Linked DNA regions of Canis lupus familiaris. The protein of the gene in region 1 purifies or fractionates together with the protein of each later gene. This does not show direct contact. Links are inferred from orthologs where the notes say so. Each region holds a gene or a part of one and is shown on either strand. Other genes may lie near its edges.

What was found. Proteins that work in one complex are often made in the same cells at the same time.
Region 2: the proteins of ZNF830 (region 1) and PPIL2 purify together in Homo sapiens (co-immunoprecipitation; 4 studies listed by BioGRID and IntAct, counting the BioPlex papers as one, with this or other methods). This does not show direct contact. The link is inferred for Canis lupus familiaris from reciprocal best matches to the Homo sapiens genes ZNF830 and PPIL2.

What each region holds. Positions count from the first base shown.
Region 1 is NC_049230.1:38,349,458-38,353,914, reverse strand, and holds ZNF830 (zinc finger protein 830), read left to right. Parts: upstream 1-1,588; 5' UTR 1,589-1,635; coding exon 1,636-2,757; 3' UTR 2,758-3,285; downstream 3,286-4,457. Other genes in the region: CCT6B (T-complex protein 1 subunit zeta-2), read right to left, coding at 1,337-1,473.
Region 2 is NC_049247.1:31,118,074-31,122,568, reverse strand, and holds part of PPIL2 (RING-type E3 ubiquitin-protein ligase PPIL2), read right to left. Parts: intron 2,211-4,495; coding exon 2,119-2,210; intron 1,282-2,118; coding exon 1,192-1,281; intron 382-1,191; coding exon 306-381; intron 1-305. UniProt on the Homo sapiens protein: Has a ubiquitin-protein ligase activity acting as an E3 ubiquitin protein ligase or as an ubiquitin-ubiquitin ligase promoting elongation of ubiquitin chains on substrates.

The DNA of each region.
Region 1 (4,457 bases):
CTCACATTTATTAGATCGTCGAGTTCTGTTGATTTTACAACCTAAATATTTCTTGAATCTACTCCCTCCTCTCCACGTCCACTGTCGTCAACGATTAAAAGAGAGAATGAGTTCTAGCCTGGACTTAGCATCCTGGTATCTCTGAATTTGAATCTACCCTCCACACTCTATTTATCTTTCTAACACACAGTGTGACCCTATCAGCTCCCTAATCAAAAATCTATGTTCTCCATCACCTTCCAGGTAAAATCCAGACTATTTAGCAATGAGGTAGTTCACCTTTCCCACTCTGGCTTATGTCTGTTTTTCCTGCCACACCTGCCAATGATATCTTGTGGTTCCCTTTTACACATCACGTTTGTTTTCATTTCTGTTGGATTTACACCATTGGGCTTTCTTGTTCCTTAAGTTACTAGGACTTTAGTCCCTTCTCCAACTGGTGAACTCTAACTTATCTTTCAAGGCTCTGATCAAAAATCTGTTGAGAGGGCAGCCCGGGTGGCTCAGCGGTTTAACGCCGCCTTCAGCCCAGGGTGTGATCCTGGAGACCCAGGATCGAGTCCCACATCAGGCTCCCGGCATGGAGCCTGCTTCTCCCTCTGCCTGTGTCTCTGCCTCTCTCTTTCTCTGTGTCTCATGAATAAATAAACAAAGCCTTAAAAAAAAAAAAAAAAAAAAAAAAAAAACCCTGTTGGGAGGCTTCTCCTTCTCCCTCAGTCCTATCACAGGATTCCTGGCCTAGATGCCACATACATACATACCACCCCTTCATCACCTGGGTGCCCAGCATCCGGTTAGTAGACAAGCGCCCTCTTTTACCGTTAATATGAATTCTGCTTACTCCTCTTAGAACGTCTCTCCCTGTCCTAAACATTTTTGTTCTCTTTTCCTCACTCTTCTAAAGAAGATGGTGATGCTACGGAGAGACGCTGAAAGGGTGGCTCGGAAGCAGCGTGGGCACAGAGCGTTCAGACAACTTGCCTAGGGGCGGACAGCTGGAAGGGAGCTTGGATGTGGACCCACACCTGCCGGGCCCAAGGCCTGTGCCCTTAGGGCTGCGACACGGCCCCACAAATCCCCAAGTAAAGACACACAGTGTCAAAGCGCGGGGGAGTTCCGCGGCTGGCGCTTCCAAGGGACCAGATCAGGGGCACGGGAACGTTAACGGACCCGCCCCGGGCCACGGGCGCCCTCCGCGCAGGAGTGACAACGAGGACGACGGGCCCACGGTGCTTCCTGCGGCTCCAGGCTCTCGGCGGAACGTGTGCCCGGGGCGGGCCGCGGCAGCCGGCCAACCCGGGTCCTGACCGCCGCTCCAACCGCCCCGCAGGCTCACATTTTCAGGGTGCCCTTGGGCCCCAAGTTGGTGCGCAGGACATCCTGCAGCCCTCGGGCGGCGCAGATATTGACGGCCAAGGCCGCCTGGGCCCGCGCCACCTCAGCCTTGGAGTTGATCGCCTGGACCGCAGCCATCGCACCACCCGGCGCGCCACCCGCCAGGTAGCGGCAGCCTCAGCCCGGATCCCGAGCGGAAGCCCGTGCCGGAGCCTCAGCCAATCCTCGCCGGGAGCGGAAGTGACGTCGCCAGGCCTCGCCCGCACGGAAGCCGCAATCGCTTCGGGTCGGGGCGCCAAGATGGCGTCCTCCGCCTCCGCTCGCGCTCCCGCGGGGAAGCGAGTTGTGAATCAGGACGAACTGCGGCGGTTGATGAAGGAGAAGCAGCGTCTCAGCACCAACCGGAAACGGATAGAATCTCCATTTGCGAAGTACAACCGTTTGGGGCAGCTGAGTTGCGCCCTGTGTAATACGCCGGTGAAGAGCGAGCTCCTGTGGCAGACCCACGTTCTGGGAAAGCAGCACCGGGAGAAAGTGGCCGAGCTGAAAGGCGCGAGGGAAGCCACCCAGGGACCGTCCTCCAGCGCAGCGCCTCAGTCAGCCAAGAGGAAGGTGCCGGACGCCGATGGCCAAGATGCCAAAAGACTCAAGGCCTCCCCGCTGCCTCAGGTGCAACCCTCCACATCCGCTTTGCCCACCAACTTTGACAAAGCAGGGAAGGAATCCACCAGAGCGACCCTCAGTAAGGCTTCGGGACTCGGTTTACTCCCTGATTATGAGGATGAGGAGGAGGAGGAGGAGGAGGAAGAGGAAGAGGGAGGAGGAGGGAAAGGAGGGGACTCGAGCAAGCCGCCGCCCGACGCACAGGGCAAGGACCACTCGCTTTCCTCCCCGAGGGAGGCAACAAGTAGTATGCTGCCAAGCGGTTTCTCGGATACAAATCCCCCCAAGGCCCCCTTAATTCCCCATTCAGGGTCAATTGAAAAAGCAGAAATACACGAAAAAGTAGTGGAAAGGAGAGAAAACACAGCGGAAGCATTACCAGAAGGCTTTTTTGACGACCCTGAGATAGATGCAAGGGTACGAAAGGTTGACGCCCCAAAGGATCAAATGGACAAAGAGTGGGACGAATTTCAGAAGGCCATGAGACAAGTCAATACCATTTCCGAAGCCATAGTTGCTGAAGAGGATGAGGAGGGACGGTTGGACCGGCAAATTGGGGAGATCGATGAGCAGATAGAATGTTACCGTCGGGTGGAAAAGCTTCGGAATCGCCAGGATGAAATAAAAAATAAGCTTAAGGAGGTTCTGACTATAAAGGAACTGCAGAAAAAGGAAGAGGAGAATATTGACAGCGATGATGAGGGAGAACTACAAGATCTGCTGTCACAGGACTGGAGGGTAAAAGGGGCTTTGTTATAGGGTTTCAAGACCCAAGATTTTTACACCCTCTACAATGGTACGAAAAGTGCTGTTTCTGGGTATGATTACTGGTTCCTTCGTGCGTGGAGATTTGGTGACCTAACTGGGTTGTTGACATACAATGAGCCTGTGAAGATAGCACTTTTGAAAATTGGTGTAAAATATTTTTGAGGTGAGGTTGTTTTTGCAATTTTTGAGCTATTGTATACTAAAATGTCAACTTTTTTCACACGTTAAGTGAATAATTTTGCGTTGTCAAATCTGTAAGCTGTAAATATTGTACCTCGTTAAATATATATTTACTTAAGTAATTCTGTTTTGAAATTTATAAATAAATAGAAGCCAGGCTAACAGACAAGCTTTTAGATAAAAACCAAGTGTGGCATTTGGGATATATGTGTTTTTTCTTTTCTGATCCCCTAAATCAACTCAACTTCCTGCAGCAGGAGGGTTTTGTAGAAAGGTGGGGAAGAGGGTTTGTTTTTTGCTTTTAAGAATACTATTTATAAACACTATAAGTCATTCAGGGCAAATCAGTTCTCTGAGTATTGTTTCTGTTTCAAAAACATGCACTACGAGAACATGGGAAAATATATGACCAAACCTCCTTAACCCAATTGTTTCTCTTGATTAAACCAATGATTCTTGGATGTGATGTAGGTGCACATGAAGATCACCTGCCAAGCTATTGAAAAGGTGCCTATGAAGTACCTTGGAGCTTTTAAAAAATTCGTGTGCCCAGAACCTACCATTAAATATTCAGTAACTCTGTGGAGTGGGGCCCAGGTATCTGTATTAGTTCTGAAAGCATCCCAGGTTGTTCTAGTATATGCCAAAGTAGAAGGGTCATGTTTAGGTCGCCCTAAATCCAGAACCCATCTATATGTTTTCACGCTTTGTTTTTTTAAATACCGCTTTCCATAAGTTTATCATCTACTGTATAAAAGAAATACCACCTTTTAGGTTTCATCCAGTCTTAAATTTATTACATTTCATAGTTAAATAAGGGTTCAGAGTTGCTGTCCATTGTAGGGAGGATAAGTTTTTTCTCAAGGAGTAACAATAAGCTTGTTCCAGTCACTCACGAACTGTTGAAATCACTCCTTTTCCCTTTGGCAATAGAGATATTCAAGCGAAAAAGGAATTAGCAGTGTTCCAGAGGTAGAAATGCATATGGCATACTCAAATGAAAGTGTGTAGTAATGATGATAATAACTAAAACATAGCCTTTACCTTGGTTCTAAGTGGTTCTAGGTGTTTTACATAAACCAAATCTAGTTGCTCTAAAGCTCAGTTGTTGGGGGCCAGGGTGGCTCAGTCGATTAAGCATCTGCCTTCAGCTCAGATCATGATCCTGGGGTCCTGGGATCAAGCCCCACGTCGGGCTCCTTGCTTAGTGGGGAGCCTGTTTCTCCCACTCCCCCTGCTTGTGCTCTTTCTGTCAAATAAAATCTTTAAAAAAAAAGTTTAAAGCTCAGGTTTTATGAATACCAAGAGTTAAGGTATGAAAAAGCCTCACTTGGATGCTAGGTGAAGGAATTATTCCTGTCAGCAGTGTAGGAAAAATAGAAGTTTTTGAGCAAAAAATATTTGCAAAAACAATTACGGAAGATGATTTTAGTTGCAGTGTATAAAATGGAATGAATGTGGATAGGAAACGCTGTGAGACTACTTGGAAACAGATTTTAAAGGTAAAGTGA
Region 2 (4,495 bases), on another chromosome or scaffold:
ATCTCTAAGGAGCAAGGGGGGTCCTTGGGCTGAGTCTTGAGTGGGGAGGAGGCAGCAGCAAGGCCACCAGCGCATGAGGCTGTAGGCATCAAGCATGTGGGCCCCAGCTGGGACTCCACACATCGGGCTCCCTGTGGGCGGGTGCGGTGCTGCCAACCTCAGCACAGAAGCTAAGCATCGGCCAGTCTGGGCTTGAGCTAGACTCCTGGTGCTCCGGTCCCCAGCAAGGTGAGGGTTTCACCCAGAAAGCACTGACCTATTTCACCCAAACCCCTGGCACCCAGAGCAGCCGTGGCTGTACCTACCTGGATCTGTTATTTTTATGTTATTCTTAACATGAAAGAAGTTGGAGACATTGAATTTGTCCAAATTGGTGGGGTCCTGCAGCAAAGAGAACACGTGCAGCACAGTGAGCCGGCAGCAGAGAATGGGGTGTCGAGCTGGGAATGGAGGGCAGCAGGGGCCAGGAGAGGGCTCCGCCTAGGCAAGGGCACGAGCAGGGGCAGGGTGGGGACAGTGGCACAAATGGCTGGTCTGCACGCCAAACTCTGTCCCCTGCCCCTCAGCACATGGCTGACGAGCATCCTTTGCTGCTAGGCAGCCACAGGATGGACAGACCTCATCATGGGGATGTAGGGAGACACAGGGCATCCACCTTAGGCCTCCGACACACCCTCCCAAGCTCCCTCCAGCCCAGCTGCCAGACACAGAGCCTGCAGTCCTCAGGCTCTGGTGACTGCAAGCAACCCCATGGGAGTGAGTGTGCATGGACCTCTGACGAGGAGGGGACAAGCCATGGACAGGAATGGCCCACGAAGGCCACCCCTAGAGTTTCTAAGTCCAGGCCTTTCAGGAACCCACTCAGGTCTGGCACCTCAAGGCACGTCCTATGCTCAACCCTGGGGTAGAGCACACACCAGCCCATCCTCTCCCACTTGGATTCGGAGATGGCTTTCATGGAAGACATGAGTGGCCGTGACAGAGCAAGGACAGGCATTAGGAGAGGTGTGAGAACCAGAGAAGAGCAGCCGTGTGAAGACCTAGACTGATAGCAGGGGCACTGGAGCTGGGGGTGCTCCCAGGAGCTGGGAAACCAAAACTAGGCAGGCCCCAGAGCCTGGGCGAGAAGGAGGGGTTGGCAGGGGGCACCCCAGTCCTCCCTGGGAACAGCAGTGGCAAGGGGACGCCCACCTGGAGGGTGATGATATCCTGCCGAGAGAAGGGCTCGTCTGTCAGCAGGTCTCGGAAGTTCTTGGCCTTGATATTTAGCTGCTCCACTGCCTGCAGCCAGGAGGGAGCACGCTGTTATGGTGCCTGCCCCACCCTGGCACCAGCAGCCTGGAGCCCACCCAGGGGCTGGCGCCATTCCAGGGGTGCAGAAAAGGATGGCACGACCACGTACTCTTTGGGGGCTCACAGCAGTGGCCCCACCATGGAGGACGGAGCTTGCCGAGCCCCAGACACTCGAATCAGCCATCTCAGCAAAGCTCACTGAAGGACACTCCAATGATACACATCTGACATCAGCAAACAGGCTCAACAACGCTGGCCGTGCATCTCTACCAAGTCCCTCCAACCAAATCTGTGCACACTTTGGGCAAAAGTGACCCCCAGGCCCCACAGGGCAGCGTTGGAGATCCAGACCCTGCCAACAGCCAGGGACAGGTGGGAAAACAGCTCAGAGAGGGCTTCCCTGCAACACAGCACCCACGCGACTGCTGCTGTACTCTCTGCTGGCCCAGAGCAGCAGGATGCGGGTGGAAATCGGGGCCGCCCACCGCCAGGCGTGCCCACCAGCCTGCATCTGCTCCTCCTGGGGACTCCAGCAGGAGGCGGCAGAGGGGGGGCTCAGCGCTCTCCTGGACCTGCCATCAGAGCACAGGTTCCCTCCCAGGGCCTGGTCAGCGAAGATGAAGACTGCAGGGCCAACCCCCCGAGTATAAAACAACCTCCCAGGTTTCAGGTCAGGAGGCCACAGGAAGGGCTCTAGCACGTAAGCTCCACGGGGACAGGCTGTGCCCACGGCGCCCGGTGCACCCTCAGCACCTGGGTGCTGAGGCATATACCTGGGGCATATACCTGAAGAACCTATATGTGCCGCAGCTCCTGAGAACCCACCTCATAGGTGTACACGTTGCCGGTGGTCCTGATGGCTACGATGTGGGTGTTGTTGGTGAATACGGTGAACAGCACTGGGCAGTGGTACTTTCCTAGAAAGAAGACACACGCCAAGAGACCAGAGAAAGGAGACATTGTGTCAGCATGCCCTGAACCTCCGAAGACCCAGAGGGACAGCCAGCTGCTCAAGCCTCCTGTTCCAATCCCACTGAGAAACTCCTACTTGTCCCGCAAAACCCAAACCCTACGTGGTCTTCCTTGGAGTCGTCTGCTCCATCAGCCCCCAACACGCTGCTAGCAACCACCACCCCTCCTCCATCTCAGATCTTGCCACATTCCCCAACCTCCTATACGCCCCCCCATTCCCTCGCTGTGTCATTGCAACAAACTCCCACTGCCCTCCCTGCCCGTGCCCGCCGACTCCACACCAGGCAGCCAGAAAGCCCATTCAAGTAAGTCTTAACAAACTATGAAAAAAGAGCAGCAGAGTATCTACAGATTAAGAGACTTAGGCGATACCAACCACACAAAACTGTGTGGATTTTTTAAAAATCTTGATTTGAAAACTATAAAAAAAAAGATCATGAAAGTATTCCAGATTCTGACCACTGGCTGGGTTACTTGATGACACTAAGGAATTCCTGTTAACTTTTTAGATGGAACGGCGGTACTATATTTAAAAAAGTATTTTAAATCCTTATCTGTTAGAGATATACACTGAAGTACTTAAGCATGAAACGACACGTTTCTGATCATCTGCTTCAAAATTACCTAAGCAGGTGCCACAGGGGAGCACAGGTAAAATCACACAGTCCTAAGTGGATGGGAACTGAAGCTGGGTGATGGCTACAGGGCAGGGGATCACCGTACTAAGTCTCTCTACTTTCATGCATCTGAAGTTTTCAATTAAAAACAAAAAAAGGGAGTTGCCTGGGTGGCTCAGTCAGTTAAGCGCTTGACTCTCGATTTCGGCTCAGGTCATGATCTCAGGGTCCTGGAATGGAGCCCCTCATCGGGCTCCATGCTCCGCGTGGAGTATACTTGGGGATTCTCTCTCCTATCCCTCTGCCCCTTCTCCTCCTCACAAGCAAGCACACACCCATGCTCTCGCTCTCTAATAAATAAGTACATCTTCTAATTTTTTTTTTTTTTATGATAGTCAGAGAGAGAGAGAGAGAGAGAAAGGCAAAGACACAGGCAGAGGGAGAAGCAGGCTCCATGCACCAGGAGCCCGACGTGGGATTCGATCCCGGGTCTCCAGGATCACACCCCGGGCCAAAGGCAGGCGCCAAACCACTGCGCCACCCAGGGATCCCACATCTTCTAAAATAACAATAAGGCAAAAGGGGCTCCTGGGTGACTCAGTCAGTTAAGCGTCCAACTCTTGATCTCAACTCAGGTCTTAATCATAGGGTTAGGAATGTGAGCCCTGCAGGGGGCCCCACGCTGGGTGTGGAGCCTACTTAAAACAAAACAAAAAAGGTAAAAAAGGTGCTTGCTGGTCAAAATTATTACTATTTTTTTGGTCAAAATTATTTAAAAAAAGAAAATAACACAGGTGAATAGTCAGATCTCATGTCTCCTCTCTGGCCAGCATCTGAGAGACCCGTAGTTGCCTGGCCCCTGCACAACTAACTGCTCTGCACCGTCCCCAACTCAGACTCCTCCAACCACAACCCCTTGCTTCCACTCTCACACTGTTTCAGCAACACAGGCCTCCTTAGGACCTTTGCAGTGGGATGCTTTCCCCCCACATCTCACGCCTCCTCCCTCATCGGATTCCCACTCAAACCCTGTCAGCGTGTCTTGCTAGGACTCTCTCCTCCCCTGCTCCTGAAATCCAGTTGCTGGCAGAGGCAGCATCTGACACACTATGGTCAACTGTTTTCCAGTTTCCTCCCTCACCATAATGCAAGCTTCCTTTCACTCCAGGAAATGACCTGTTTTGCTCTCTGCACATGAGAAACAGTAAGTATGTGCTGAATGAGAGACACACTGTGGGCCTGAGTTGACTGATCTCAGAGAAGGTCCATGGGGCTTGGCTACCTACGTGGAGCTCCTCAACCTCCAGGGACTGTCCACAAAGCACTGTGCTTCTGGTCTGTCAAGGCCATTCTCTCATTTACAGTGAGCTGGCACCCACTGTGGGCCAGGCTCTGGGGTGACACAGGAGTGTCAGGCCCCAGCTTCAGGTGCCTCAGCACCTTCCCGGAATGCACACACAAGCAAGTGCAGACAGCCTCAACCTGGCATCTGCACAGGCTGAGGGAACTGTGCCAGGCCTCCAAAGAGCCAAGAGCAAGGTCGGTGCCCGTGGGGGTCATCTCAGCTCTGGCATCTGACAAATAAAAAGGCCAGAGGGTGCCAGGGGCTAGAA